Linked DNA regions of Drosophila melanogaster. Changing the gene in region 1 together with any one later gene gives a genetic interaction. Each region holds a gene or a part of one and is shown on either strand. Other genes may lie near its edges. The genes, in order: Pis, rdgB and Cds.

Region 1 (4,598 bases):
AGAGTACCTTAATGCATTCACACGAACTATGTGATGCTGGCACATGTTGGGCAAGTATACCCGCCCAGGAACTTCATCCTAGACGCCTTACCAGGACGAAATCGCCAATGTACTCGAAGGTGCAGTGTGTGATTGCCGCGTAGGCCACCGTGTAGCGCATCAGGCGACCCAGACGGGAGAGGATTTTCATGTCGGCGATTCCGGCGTTGGCTGCTCCACATGCGCCCCTAATCAGAGCATCTCCCGTGTCCAACGACCTGGTATTCTCTCGAAAAAAGAGCTCCTCCAAAATCGAATGTTTATGTTGTGTAAAAATCAGGGCTGCACAGGCGGCGCAGCTGAGCGGCCAGCCAGGGATGTGCCAACGATAATTTTGATGTCTAACGATAAATTTTGTGTGGCGCAAATTTCAAAAATCGATGGCCCAAAAGGTTAAACTAAAATTTAGCGCATAGAACCACATATATTTATTTTCACTTTTCAATTTTGACTAAGTCTGCCAGGCCTGGCATGTATGGTACATATATGTTAATGTTTCAAATACATCTAACATCCATTTGTCGTATATATTTCATGCAGGTCTCCAATTACATTCTTTAACTTACGATTAGAAATACATTAGTTACATTGAGAGAGTTGCTGGGACAAGGTGGTTAGTCAAACCCAAAACGTGCACAGTGAGATAAATCCTGGAAATAGACACTCATTCATAGTATATCGGCCTGCATTTACGCATTGGCATATATATACATATATAGCGTGTAAACTACGCTAACTAAAGGCAAAATAAATATGCAACAGCTACTGACTGGAACGAATCGCTTAAATTTCAATTCAAAAATCTATTAAATACAAATTGTCGGGTGATTTCACCACCCGTCTAACTAAAATATATCAAATAAAATCAACAATCATTGCAATAGCGCATTAAAAATAAATTAAATTCCTACTACGGCCTATTTGGTTGCCTAATGCCCATATTTCATCTGATCGCAATTCGTCTTCAAAATTCTGTTTTTTTAGCTTGGAATCAAGAGTTGTTTCATTTAGTACTTTCTGTTGATAGAACTGTCGCTGGAAGATTGATCCCGGATCGCATCCCATTTTCACTCCACTTTCTTGCCGCTCACCGGCTCCGACTTCTGGCGCCGCTCCTGCCGCTCGCGTACATCCACGGCCGCCAGATCGATGCCCGCCACGTAGGCGTGCATCACCGAGATCAGGGCCTTGAGCACGGCAAAGGGACCCGTGAGGAAGGCGAGTATCTTGAAGAGCGATGCGCCGAATACTGCAATTGAAGTCCATCAACGGATTAGATACGTTTCGCCAGCTGAAATGCAAAGCATGTGCGTGTGCGTATACTCACTCAGCGGGCCGTAGGTGAAATGCAAGAGGTACAAGCACACGTAAAACAGCTCATTGACGCAGCACATGAATGTGAGTATGTCCTTCTGGTAATACAATCGCATTATGAAGTTGTCATTCACCTTGTGCGAGCTGCGTCCGACCACAACGCTCCTGCAAAAAGACAAAGCCACGAGTCATTAGTTTCCTTCCATTCCTTGACAGTCCAGACGTCCAGCATCTTGCTCTTTCCCCTGCCCCACTTACGTCTGCATGAAGAGCCAGTGACAGGCCACGTCGATGGCGATGGACAGCTGGAACCAGAACATGTACCGGGGATAGAAGTAGGCCAGGGTGACCAGTAGGCCGGTGGTGCCGCAGCGATCGGTCAACTGGTCTAGCATGGCGCCAAAGCGAGTGCCTGTGAGGTAATCGAGTATTTAGTAAAGATTCCATAGTACCATATGATAATTACTAATATTTTGATATACATATTTTGGTTGGAGTACCCTTTCGTTAAGACTCTAAATCATCCTGCTAGCATACAACAAATCCAAGTGCAAGATCATACCTTTCAGTTTGCTACACTACTATATCATAAACATTGCATGGTATCTGCAATTTGTTTCTTAGAAGGCTTCTATCCTAATGTTTTTCCTCCTATATTGCTAACTACATTGCATAGTTCCAAGGCAATATTAGCCATGCTTTCTATCTATTCTTCAGCCCCACGTCATCCATCGATTGGCTGGATAGCCGTGACCATATCGGGCTCTTTAGGGCGTGCCTACAATTCCACAATATCGGCAGATAACCAGTACGGAGGAGACAGGTGTTTGCAATGCGCTAGCGGCCAAAGTGCGCGCACAAATCAAATACAGACATATAGCTGGCATGAGCTGGCATTTCGATATCAAGGGCGATCGCATGGTTAATGCTTACTTTGGTTAAAGGCTCGGGCTGCTTGTCCATCGACGGCGTCCAGGAGGGCGGAGGTTACATAACACCAGCCGGAGATCACATAGTTGGTGGACATGAACCAGAAGGCGATCAGGGCCAGAACGATGCGGGCGTAGCCTGGAAAAGATCAATATAAATCAGCACATATGCGTGCATCATACGTATAGAATCATTGGAGGTGACTCAATTGGGTTGGACGAAGCGGCTCTTATCGCTGAACTTGCGCTTCGCATTGCACTAGCTGCCAAACAGCCCCTATTAATCCAATTAGGGAACACTAGAATCGCTATTATTGCGCCGCATAAATCGAACATGCGATTTGTTTACCTAGCTGGAGCACGGAATAAAACCTACAAACAGCCACTCACCGATCAGATTTGGCACAAAGATGAAGACGTTATCGTGCTCGGCAATTGTCATTTTGTTTCGCCACTTTGGTTTTTCGTTTATTTTGCGATCTTCTAGCTTTGCGGCTTGTTTTTATCCAATTAAATGCCAAAAGTGCTGCAGAAAAAACAGTGGAAACAGAATTTGCTGTATCTGGTGTGACCGCAGCGTGACCTTTGGAAAAAACAAACAAAGACTTGAGAGAAAATACCGAACTATACTGGCCAACAAGATTTCAGATGGTTTCCACTGACACACATCTGTTTCTAGTTTCTATTTTTCTCTTCCAATAGAAATTTAGTAATTAGTATATCATTTTAAATGTATCAAATACAAATTAAAGGTCACTAGATTATTAACATGAGCTACCAAAACCGGGCAACTAGTGTAGTTGCTTGTTAAATGAGTTTTGACAGCGATTTGCGTGCCGTTTTGATACATTTTCGCTGCCGTTGAGCAGTGTAAATGGATCTTTGCATACCGCTTCTAAGCTAGTATATTCCTCAGCGGGACATGGCATGGTCACACCGCCCGCGATAAAGTTTTCACAAATAATAATAAAAACACAATACAGGCGAAAATATAATGCACAAGTAGCGCGACCCGAAGTAACCTGCGCGGAGAACCACATGCTGTAGCATGGATAAACTCCGCGGCGGCAGTCTGGGCGGCGGCGGATCCTCCAGCGGCGCGCCATCGACGGCTCCGGGCCATGAGCACCACCAACTGGAGCAGTATCAGTACCCCAAAAACCTGATCGAGCAATATCTAAGGGCCTCCAGCAAGATCAAGAAGTTCGAGCGGGCCGGCTTCTTCAAGTGAGTAGCTACGGCCCAAGTATGGGCAATCAGATACCTTGCAGATCATTGCGTTTGATTAGCAAGTCATTGCCCAATTTATCGCTTTTCCTCCATCTTCAAACTATGTTTAGAAATACGGGTGTATTAGAAGCCCTCGAATCACGGAATACAATCTCAATACTCCACTGTTTCTCTAATTCCCAGACGCTTTGCGCCCAGCGTGGTCGATGTGCAGGCGGACTTCCAGCGACTGGCCTACAGCTTCGAGGAGTCGGGCATACAGCAGTATGCGGCCATGTGCCACATTGGCTATGCCAAGTGCGAGTCCTACGGCGGCGCACCGCAGCGCGAATCGGAGGCCTATCTGCGGGCAGCTAGATCCTTCCTAGCGGCGCACAACGAGTCCGGGCGACTGCATCTGCGCACCCGCCACTCGGGATTTCGGGAGGGAGCGGTGCACTGCTATCACCGTGCGGCGGATCGAGCGGTGGACGGTTGCGTCTTCAAGGCGGCCATTCTGCGCGAGTTGAAGCAGCTGCAGCGGCAGCTGGACAGCACCAGCAGCTTTGCCTCGCCCACCCATCAGATCCATGACCTGGAAATCAGCGCCGAAACGAGTGGCCAGCGCGGCGATTTTCGCAGTGCACTGCAGCATTACGACGACATTGTGGACAATGTTTACGAGCGACGCGGTGCTCGCATGTACGGTGAACTATTGCGGCGCGTTGAGGTGCTGCGTCTGCTGCTCCTAGTCCATTTGAACCTGCCTCCCGCACGCCAGTCACCCGCCCACATCAAGCTGATCGAGTACTACTACAACCTGGCGCAGTTCGAGTCGCTCCCCTGTTCGGCGGACGACGGTGGATCCGCGGAGCGTCCGGGAGCATTTGTGCCCGAACAGCAGCAGTATGCGCTGGCGGAGATTACGTGCGCCTGGGTGGAGCGTAAAATGTGCGATCTAAAGCACCTGCTGCGCGACTTTGGAGCCGAATTTGGATCGCTGAGCGACATGGAAAGGCAGCTGCTGGCGGTGATGCATGCAGAACTGGCCCGAAGCTACTAGATTTTAGACCTAAGATCGTACTGTACATTATTTACTACTGGATC
Region 2 (4,724 bases), 1.9 Mb from region 1:
GAGATTAAGAAAAACAAGCTACAGAATATCTAATACATAATACAATACATTCATTCTATATGAAATTACTAAAAAGAAGCTTTTGATATATGTAATTATATTATGGCATAGTTTCATTAGTTTGTAGTTATATATGGTTTGATCCTAATAAGATCTGGATAGACATTGTTGGGGAAATGGGGGAGGGGGCGGGATGTTCTAGATGCTAAAATAAGAGGCACAATAAAGGAGGGCCGTCAATCAATAATTATTGGGCACAGCGGGCAGTGGGGGAAGGGGAAACGAACACAGACATGCACATGTTTATGTCATGGCAGTTACATGGCAGGCCGTAACGAATCGTAAGCCCCAACAATATGGCCACCGCTTTAGGCCCCCTTCCCCCTGCCATGCCACGCCCCCTTTTCGCCTAGCACTCTCCACCCCCCGTTAGCCTCCACACATCACCATTTTTCTGTTTTTTTTTTTTGCCTCCTTAGCATAATTACATTTTGTGACACAGAAAATGCGCCAACAGATTTTCTTTGCTACACTGGGTCAAAGGTTATCGAAAGTGTGTCCTATATATAAGAAAAACAGATAATTTCATAACGAAAACATGTATCTTCCACTGTTTTAAAGTTGTGAAACAACTTTTTTGGTGTAAAAAATTTCTGTTAAGCTAGCGAAAGTAACAATGTGCAGTTAGCACTATATGAAGAATGCTAGGTTTTGTTTACAACTGCAATTACTTTTCCCAATTTAATATTCATATGTATGTACATTTTTACGACTTTTAGAGAACACAAGTAAAGTTCATATAAGAAGAAAGCACCTGCAGTTAAAAGTGATAAGAAATGTTAATATTCACGATGAGAAAAAACTTTGCAGCGATAAGATTTATTACAATGGAGCTTCCTTTATGGGGCTTATAAAAAAATGGACATTATTTACGATTCGCTTAAAGTCTTCTTATTTGGCGGGGGGCATTCGAGAAATCTAGACTAGAAAACACCTTTTTTTTTAAATGATATAGCAGCCCGGAGATGAAAAAGCGGCCCACTGTGCATCAATAAACAAATTACAAACGCACACATGTGCTGGCTATAAAAGATCCGGCCAAAGTGCACGTAGCCTTCAATGTGGTTGTTTATGATGTATTTTGTCATTTAAAAAATTTTTGTTTATGATGTGACCAAAGGGTAAAGCAAGGGTATGCACACGGAGAAAAGTAAGAGCAATATCACAAATATTTTCATTCATTAATATTATTAAAATATATTAACACAATGCACATTTTATCCATGTCCACTCTGATATTTAAATTATTTTTAAGATTGCTTGATATACTTTTCTCTCCGTGTAAAATCATAAGATGAAGATGGGTAAAATTCCACGCTTTTATGCACAAAACCATTTTTGTTATTAAGTCTGCCAGACAGAAGCTCAAATAGTGAAAATAGAGGAAATAAATTTGCGCAATTGTTGCAACATCAAAAACGCCAAACTGATAAATAAATTGCCATGGTAATTGACCAAGCAATACAATAAAAAAAAAGGTGTAGAAAAATGTGCAAAAAAAGGTAATAAAACGAAGAAAAGCAACAACAACAGAAAACGCACTCAAGCGGAAATAAATGAACGCGAGACAGAGACAGAAATAGACGGGTTGGGATGCAAAGAAAGCAAAGGTTGAAAGAAAGCCTATTAAATCCGAGTCTCAAGTTTAGTGAGCTAAATTAGACGGAAAAGAGCAAGAAAAAAAGGTCACGTACTCTCTCTTTGGCTCTCACCCACTCTCCCCGTCTCGCTCACTCCTTCGTGCACACCTGTGGCACGCTTTGTGCTTATTAATAATTTATAAATACAATAAGCAGCAAAAATAAGAACACAACAAACGTATTTCTTGGGTTCATCTCAAAAAGGGCCTATATAATAATATTTATTTTGTACAAAGATATCTTTTATAGACTCATTTATGAAAAATGTACATTCCTAAAAATATTAATCATAGGAAATTCATAATTTCTAAGATTAAAGACTTTTTTTCAAAAACCAATGGTTATAAATTCCAGAGCAGTGCTTTCGAATAAATATTTTTATTTTTCATCTGAGTTAAGTTCCTATTTTTTTAGTATAATGAAATGTGTAAAAAATTATTTATGGAACATTAACCAAAAAAAGTTATTTTTTATGAACTCATAATGAAAACATTTCTAACAATATTATTCTTAAGAAATTTATCATTTTTAGATTAAAGCATTTTTTTAAAGAAATAGTTATAAATTAATATTTTTATTTTTAATTTGACTTAAATTCCTTAAAAAATACTTTAAAAAATCAATCATTAAGATGGCTATAAAAGACTTTTTAAAACGCTGAACTGTAATAAACTTTATCCGATTTATAAAAGTGCAAAAGTACCAAACATAACAAAACAAAGCTTTACGTGAAAATTACGCATGGAAAATTCTTATCACAGACTTGTTGTTGTTTGTAAAAGAGAGCAAAAGCGTGAAACAGGAAGAGCGGTGGGAGAGAGCTAACGGGACCTTGAGACCTGGCCACAGCCAACACACACACACTTACACAAACGCGACGCAGCTTACGCATTTACGCAGCTGCCACCCACACACACACACACACGACAACCGAAGTATCCTTAACTAATTTTACGAATTTTGTTGTAAACTATTCCATTTGTTACAAACAAAGGTGAAAAAAGAGCAGCAGTGGAAAACGTACCAACTTTCGGCGGGCCAACTCACATTATTATCATTGCGGGCAGCTGGACAATTAACAACAAAAGAGTAAGGTCCAAAGCGCAAAGGAGAAAAAAAAACAACGAACAACGCACAACAAAATATAAATATACAGTGGATATATGCTGACTCGATTGGGCGATTAATACAATTTATCTATTCATTTTCTTCGGGGCGCTTTTCCAGGCCGCAGATGAAAAATGTTTTCAGCGTTGTTGCTGCTTGCCTTGCGTTTGCTTATTTCTTTTTGCAATCAAAACGTACACACTGAAAAAAAAACAGCGTGCGCTGCGCGGCGGCAAAGTTGCGATTGCGACTCGGCTCGCGTTTGATTCCGAACTGAAGTAAGATGAACCAAACCGAAATGAACTGAACGGAACGCCGAACGCTGAACTGAACGAACGCCGAAAAGCAAACGAAGCTAAAGCAAAAGCAAAGCCAAGAGAAATGAGCGGAGAGAGCGAGGCGTTCCGAAAATGAGTATCACCGCAAAATCGCCAGACTCATAAAAAGTATACTAGTATATACATAAATACATATGTATGTATGTACATATTTGCAATCTGGATAATTTTTGCTTAGATATTAAAAAACTATTTCTACATTACATATACATACATGTTTTAAGTACATTTTAGAAAAGGACTATTTAAGGACTAATTAAATAACAAAAAAGTTAAAACGCCACCGTTTCTGAAAACGGTCAGTTCAGTTCTCAATTCTCAACTGACGATTCGCGGAAAACCCCTTACTTTATTTGTGCGCAACAAAAGCGCGCGAGAAAGCGTCACTCTCACTCTCTTTGCCTTTCTCTCCTTTTGCGGGGACACTCAGCTGGCTAGGCTGAAAAGGGGGGGTTTCGTAAATTGGATTTATGCATATCGGCCAATGAATAATATACAGTAATTTCTGCAAGAAACTCGGATGGCCAGAACCCCACAAAATGCCAACGTCCCGGCGTCCTTGTGCGCTCTCTTCTGGAGAAAAGCAGCGAGAGCAAGAGCTTGCCAAGCCCAAAAAGAAGAACAAACGCTGAAGGGCAAATAGTGAGAGAGAGAGAGAGAGAAGACGCTCTAAGTGTACGGTAAGAAGATAAGCTTAACGGCGCATTCCGTTCGGTCAGAGTCAAAGCAAACATGTCACGACATGCACAAACAAAAGACGCCAACTGTTGTCATTCCGCTCCTGTCACTCCAGCTCCCTATCTCGCTCTATTTTCGACTCTGCTGTTTTCGCTGCCCTTTCTAGTTTGTCTATTGCATTTGATAAAGTTCAACTTTGACATTTACACCGCGCATGTCCCAAAACTGTAAGGAACAATTGAGTTTACACAGGTTGCCCAGTGATTTTTGAACGAGTAGTCACTAACGATAAACCGAATGCAAATTTTAATTGAGTGCACATCAAATGGCAACGGACACTAGTTGCCTCACTCTCACTTCCGCCCACTCAATGCATCCATCTCCTTGTGCGTATTTCCATCCCAACTTCGCAATCCTGTTAAGCATCTAGGGTGCTAGTAAATACCAAGCTGCACAGTTTTCTAAATTTTGATTTTTATGAGTTATTCCTAATTTCTTTTCAGTTTATTTATTATCTACATTTTCTTTCGTGTACCTTTCATTAGGTATCATAATTGTATTTTAGGCACTTTTTGTTTGCTTTATTTATCGTGTTGTTTTTTGGTTAAGCATCTGCTTAAGATCACCTGTGATATATGCATTTATCTTTTTATTATTAGCTCATTTAAGTTGTTTGGCCGATTTACTATGTTAAATATGTATATTTTCGGAAATTTTTCTATTTACTTCAGAAGGGGTGCCTAAAAATGTGCCCAGCAAATTCTTGTGTGTGTTTTTTAATACCATAAAAGTTAGAATCCAATCCAGAATAACCATTGCTATTGCTATTAAAAAACTTGACTTTTCGAAAATTTGCAGCTTTTATTTTTATGGGATTTTATAGATTTTTCTTTTTTGATTG
Region 3 (6,185 bases), on another chromosome or scaffold:
CTTCTGACAGAAATGGACAAACATATGCCCAGCAAGCGATTTAGCTATGGATTAATTTCGCCGTACCAAAACCAGTGTTACGCGCTAAGCCAGGTTATTCCCAGTCACATGAATATAACTCCTCAGACTGTGGACTCGTATCAAGGATTGGAAAAGGATGTGATAATAATTTCAAATGCCAGGACACGCGGCTGTGGCTTTCTAACGAACTATCAGCGACTTAATGTGGCGCTGACCAGACCGCGTCGTTGTCTAGTCATATGTGGCAATTTTGAAGATCTAAAAGTCAGTATCCAGATTTAATTGAAATAAAACATGTTTTTTATGAACTTTTCTTAATTTTGTAGTCTGTTGAAATGTGGCGCAACCTTCTCGATGATGCTCGCAAGAGGAAAGTTTACTTCAATTTGGACCGCGATGATGTGAACGACCTAGACCGTTCCTTAATCAAAAAGATGATGGTGAATACTATCAACTTAATTTAGGGGACACAACGTTCCCTATTAGTTAATGAGATTAAAACTACCTTTTAGATGCTAAGATATCACAAGTGCCATGGAAGAGAAGCGCTTCCCACATTGTTTAAAAAAAGGCTTTGTTATTTTTATATATATTTAACATAGAGACTGTAAGATTTAATATTGAAATCTTTGTACATTTAGTTCTTTAAAACGCCGACGAATTGCATTTTCGTTCTTAAATGCCGTACAGTATAACAGGATTTATAAGTAACCGATTATATATCATCTATGTACTTTTTGAGAAAGATTCACGGGTTGAGGATGTTGCACTATGCATGGCGTAGTGTATGACCGAATAAAAGTAAATAAATAAATATTGAAATGGTTAAATCAATTATTTAACGTCTGCATATTGCACTATTATATATAGAATTACAGCATTGCAAGAGTTTTCCTGGTATCTTGATCTCATAATTTCGTCCCTCAGGTATTTAACTAAAATGCGCTTTAATTATGCTAATCTCCAGATTCTGGCGTTGTCTGCCTGATCATCTCTAAGCTATAGTTATCGTAATTAAATTCACTAACAACACGCACACACACATAGTCGATATTAAATTCATAGTTATTCTGTTTGCCTTGCCTTGACGCCTTGTCACGAGGGCATTAAAATTAATGGAATCGCTTAACAATACGATTGCACTGTGTAGAGTTCTGCCAAATAAAACAATCGCAATAACTTAATGCAAGATAAAATAAAAACTAACTTAAGAATTTAACTAAAATGTAGCAACAAAATCTAACTAAGGACTAATAACATAACAAAAATTATGCCCGTAATTAACTTATTTTATGTGGCTGCTCAAACTGCCGGCCCGTTTGCTTACAGATATATATCAATGTATATATATAGAAATTTCTGCATTACATATAGAACGTACGACTCAGCAAACGTCTTGTCCGAATCTTACTGGTAACCGATCAAGTTTAGGTTAACATGTCGCCCAAGTTGTCCTTGAGGGACTGATAAATTTGGTATTGTTGATCTGGCTTAAGGTTGTAAATCTGTGTCAGCAGCTTAGCCGGCGACGGAGTTCTGATGAAGCTGGATATATAAACGTTAACGAAGGTCGCCATAAGAAACTGACAATCGAAACGATCCATAATGCCGCCATGTCCGGGTATCATGTCGCCAAAGTCCTGCAAAACAAGATGGTGTGTTGCGTTACATTGAAAAGACCTGTGTTCCGAAAAGATTACTTACCTTAATTTTGAAAGCTCTCTTAAATCCAGAGGCAAAGAAGCCACCAAAGGGTCCAATAATGGAACTAAACAGGCTCAGGGAGATCGAGTGCCAGATAAAGGGGTAAAGATTTAGAGTCTTGCCAATGCCAAACTGGAAATGAAAAAAATTATTACTGTAGCTATCAGCACAACAAATCGGTAACCCATAACTCCATAGAAATACATTATCACTTACCAATTTAAGGCTGTATTCCTGGGGCGTGAACAAATAGCTTGGCACACAGGACATTGTCATGCGTCCCTGTTCCTCCGAGTACTGGATGGGACAGATAAAGTACTGGTAGTTGCACAGCACATACGAGAACAGAATGCCAAAGAGGACGGTGGCGAAGCCACCCCCGATGAAGCCCTCCCAGGTCTTCTTGGGGCTGAGCTTGATGAGGGGAGTGCGCCCAAAGAAGAAACCGAACACGTACGCCATGACATCATTGCACACTATCATCGAAACAGGTACGATGAACCAAATGAGCCCCTCAAATATATTCTGTATGATGAGGTAACTCTGGGTGACGACAATCAGCAGGGATACATGGGTCCAGGCAAACAGGCTGAATTGTTTGATGTAATACTTCTTCACCAGTGAGAGCACGAACCAAACGAACCCGATGATGTACAGGGCGAAGGAAAGGAACCGGTGATAGGTCACCAGGAACTTCAGATATTCCTGTAGATGAAATTGCATATTTACCAGGCGATATAATCAGGTTATTGTATTATTTACTGACCACCCGATTAATTACAACGCCAAAGTAGTCTACCAGATTCTCTCCGTAAAAGAAGTAATTTGAGGTAAGCAGGAAATACCAGGAAAGGCTTCGGAACCAGGGCAAGCCATGAATTCGATAAACCTGGTAGCCAATCGAGATGATCTCCTGGAAGCACTTCACCTGCACCAGTAACGTCTGCAAAGAGAAAGTAGGACAACGATTATTTGAAGACTCGTTTAAGCGAATTCCATTAAACCTACCGTGATCATCAAGGCCAGCGGTCCACCATAGATGATCAATGCGAAGCCGCAGATCATAATCCATGTGAAGATGCCGCGAATCACCCAGTTCTTCCATCTGTGGAATGCGCAAAAAATAATTGTTTGTAATTGTACATATTTACTTTTAATATTTGCTCGCCAACTGTAGACAGCTGTGGATATGGATTATTTTTGGAACGCACTCATACTCATTCTGTCGGATTTATAAAATTCGCACTTCAATAAAATATTTTTTGAATCATCAATTCCAAATCGACCTTTAGCTATTCATCATGATCTTTAAAGATCCCAACTACGCATATGGATTTGTTTCACATACCTATCCGGCAGATCCTTGAGGGCCGAGTCCAATATCTCGGGCGTTTTGTCGGTTCCCTGCGGCAGATTCTTGGCCAGTTCGTCGACGAACTTCTCCTCGGGAATCTTCTCTTCCTCGGAGTCCACCTGGCAGGAGGAGGAGCAAGGGAAAGGGAAAATTCACTTATTGATTGCATTGGCTGGGACTGCAAAGTAGGTTTCCTATCAGATTCGATACGACCGGAGTGCAGGGTTTAAATACTTTCTATTGGACGACGCCGAGCAAAGTCCATGATACGTGTATGTATGTGCCTATATACCCATAATCAGAATCACTCGTTTATCCAATACACAGGCACATAAAATAGAGAGGGGAACCAAGTGGGGAGAAAAATTGCGGGTTTTTTTGGGTGGCGTGTTTTGTTGCCAAATAGCTTGGTTGATAAGGAGGCATTATCACCCAGCAATAACAAAAAAAGTCCAAGCCAGAAAGGGAGTCTGGTCATGGTAATGGTTTCGGCTCTGGGTTCTTGGCCCAGTGCTTCCCTAATTGGCGTAGTCCATCTAATTGGATTTGCTGGTCATAATGGCGCTATATTGCAACACAGCAGGTGGGTGGTTGGGTGGCAGGCAGGCTGGCTGGCTAGTGGTGTGTTTTGTGTTTGTTATTGGATTTTCTCCAGGAGAGAGCTCTCTCTTCTTTCTCCCACCTGCTTGTGCGTCAGAGAATAACAAAAACACATAGCCACACACATTTGTTGGTATACACACATTGGCTTTTCTATGCTCCAAGAATTATGCAAATTGGTGTCCGGAACAGCTGCCGCTCGGCTGCTCCACATACAAGTCATTGCTACTTACATGGTCCGAGGAGTCGGCGGCGGAGTTGCGCTTATTGGCTGCGTCAGATCCGGAGATGGCCGTGTCCTCCAGTGGCTCATCCTCGCCCTTCCTGCGTCGCACTTCGGCCATTATTCGATGTTCGCCAGATCTATTCACAATGTATTGATTCCTATTGATTCCGCTTGAGCAGTTCTCGTCCGTGTTCCGCTCTCCGCGTTTGCCGTTTGCCGTGACCCGTGCTGCGTGATCCGTATGTCGACTTCGTCCGAATTAAAATGCTTTTCTCTATTTCTGATTAGCCCAGCATGCAGTGTGCCCAGCTTGCGCAAAGTGGGCTGGTGGAGCAAAAGTGTTGGCAAGTATGCTCAATTGCTGTTAGGTTTTACAAGTTGACTTTTCGGACAGAAAATGTTTGATGTCTTTTAAAAGAACTTTCTTTTTCTGTGCAATTAACGGTGACTTTTGTCGTAATATGTAAAATAAAATATATTAATAATACTAGAAAAGTTAATTTAAGTGATAATAAGAGTCACCCATATCAGCCATCCCTGGTAGAGAATATCCGTAGCTTTATACGTTTCCCAACACCTGCACCGGCGGCGTCACTTTTCTCGGCTTTTCCGTATCGCAATTTTGCAATTTTCTCGCCAAAAATAAGAAAAAGGAAAACGTAAATTCAGAAAATGGCAGCAGCTATCAATGGTGTTTTCCCACCCACATTGCAGGAGCTGGTAAAGAAGTCCAAGGTGCTGGTCGTGGGCGCCGGCGGAATCGGCTGCGAGGTGCTCAAAAACCTTGTGCTTAGCGGCTTTACAGACATCGAAATTGTAAGTTTTTTCGAAAAAAGTATTCCATATTATTAATTTATAAACGTTACCCAGATCGATCTGGACACAATTGATCTTAGCAACTTGAACCGACAGTTCCTATTCCATCGCGAGCACGTTGGAAAATCTAAGGCACGGGTGGCTAGGGAAAGCGCACTGAGCTTCAATCCGGACGCTAAGATAACCGCTTACCACGACAGTGTAACATCGTAAGTTGGGATAGCTTTGCCTTTACATCTTGCTAACAACACATACCTTTTAGTACTGATTATGGCGTCAACTTCTTTAAGAAGTTCGATTTGGTGCTCAGCGCCTTGGACAACAGGGCCGCCAGGAATCATGTAAATCGCATGTGCCTCAATGCGGATGTCCCGCTGATCGAGAGCGGCACCGCCGGCTACAATGGCCAGGTGGAACTGATCAAGCGTGGACTCACCCAGTGCTACGAGTGCACTCCAAAAGACAAACAGCGAAGCTTCCCGGGCTGCACCATACGCAATACGCCCTCCGAACCGATTCACTGCATTGTCTGGGCCAAGCATCTCTTTAAGTGAGTATACCTAATAATTAGTCTAAATTGCAGCAAATCTATTGATTTATTTGCAGTCAACTGTTTGGTGAGTCCTTGGAAGATGAGGATATTTCTCCTGATGCTGCTGATCCCGATGCAAAAGAAAAAGACGGCGGCGATGGAAATGGCGAGCCCAAAGGCGATGGGAAGGAAAAAGGCGAAGAGTCAAAAGAGGAAAAGGAGGCCAAGGAGGATACTGCCAACGGCAACATAATGCGCATTAATACTCGCCAATGGGCCAAGGACTGCAACTATGATGCGGGCAAGCTGTTCAACAAGTTCTTTAACGAGGACATTACCTATTTGTTGCGTATGTCGAATTTGTGGAAGACCCGCAAGGCACCCGTGCCCGTGCAGTGGGATACCCTGCTGCCCGAAGGATCCTCCGGTGATCAGAAGGATGTGGCCAAGCAGCATCACAAGGTGTGGTCCATCGAGGAGTGCGCTCAGGTCTTTGCCAATTCATTAAAAGAGTTGAGCGCTAACTTCCTGAAACTCGAAGGCGACGATACTCTGGCTTGGGACAAGGACGACCAGCCAGCCATGGATTTCGTGGCGGCCTGCGCCAACGTGCGATCCCACATTTTCGACATTGAGCGAAAGTCAAGGTTCGAGATTAAGTCAATGGCGGGAAACATTATTCCTGCTATTGCCACCACAAATGCGATTACGGCGGGAATTTCCGTGATGCGGGCTTTCAAAGTGCTGGAGGCCAAGTGGGAGCAGTGCAAGGCCGTCTATGCCCGACTTAGACCAAATGCACGAAATCACTTCCTTGTACCGGACGCTTCTCTTCCTGGCCCCAATCCCAATTGCCATGTATGCGCCAGCGATCCGGCCATTACTCTCAAGATCGATACGAAGCGCATGCGTATAAAGGAGCTGCGTGACGA

Evidence for each region.
Region 2: of Pis (region 1) and rdgB, changing one suppresses a phenotype caused by changing the other (phenotypic suppression), as found in Drosophila melanogaster (one study listed by BioGRID).
Region 3: of Pis (region 1) and Cds, changing one suppresses a phenotype caused by changing the other (phenotypic suppression), as found in Drosophila melanogaster (2 studies listed by BioGRID).

What each region holds. Positions count from the first base shown.
Region 1 is NC_004354.4:15,700,898-15,705,495, forward strand, and holds Pis (phosphatidylinositol synthase), read right to left. Parts: upstream 2,874-4,598; 5' UTR 2,725-2,873; coding exon 2,673-2,724; intron 2,422-2,672; coding exon 2,287-2,421; intron 2,191-2,286; coding exon of another isoform or gene 2,132-2,190; exon of another isoform or gene 1,916-2,131; intron 1,766-1,915; coding exon 1,612-1,765; intron 1,519-1,611; coding exon 1,367-1,518; intron 1,289-1,366; coding exon 1,107-1,288; 3' UTR 554-1,106; downstream 1-553. Other genes in the region: CG9240 (uncharacterized protein), read right to left, coding at 92-190; Hap40 (Huntingtin-associated protein 40 kDa), read left to right, coding at 3,331-3,509, 3,696-4,554. UniProt on the Drosophila melanogaster protein: Catalyzes the biosynthesis of phosphatidylinositol (PtdIns) as well as PtdIns:inositol exchange reaction. May thus act to reduce an excessive cellular PtdIns content.
Region 2 is NC_004354.4:13,761,112-13,765,835, reverse strand, and holds the start of rdgB (retinal degeneration B), read right to left. Parts: upstream 3,085-4,724; 5' UTR 2,891-3,084; intron 2,768-2,890; exon of another isoform or gene 2,725-2,767; intron 1-2,724. UniProt on the Drosophila melanogaster protein: Catalyzes the transfer of phosphatidylinositol (PI) and phosphatidic acid (PA) between membranes. May control phosphatidylinositol concentration in transport vesicles from the subrhabdomeric cisternae (SRC) to the rhabdomere.
Region 3 is NT_037436.4:8,126,097-8,132,281, reverse strand, and holds Cds (CDP-diacylglycerol synthase), read right to left. Parts: upstream 4,521-6,185; 5' UTR 4,428-4,520; intron 4,354-4,427; 5' UTR 4,024-4,353; coding exon 3,913-4,023; intron 3,199-3,912; coding exon 3,074-3,198; intron 2,831-3,073; coding exon 2,734-2,830; intron 2,669-2,733; coding exon 2,492-2,668; intron 2,431-2,491; coding exon 1,942-2,430; intron 1,858-1,941; coding exon 1,726-1,857; intron 1,662-1,725; coding exon 1,449-1,661; 3' UTR 607-1,448; downstream 1-606. Other genes in the region: Setx (senataxin), read left to right, coding at 1-285, 348-485; Uba2 (Ubiquitin-like activating enzyme 2), read left to right, coding at 4,578-4,721, 4,776-4,930, 4,984-5,271, 5,328-6,185.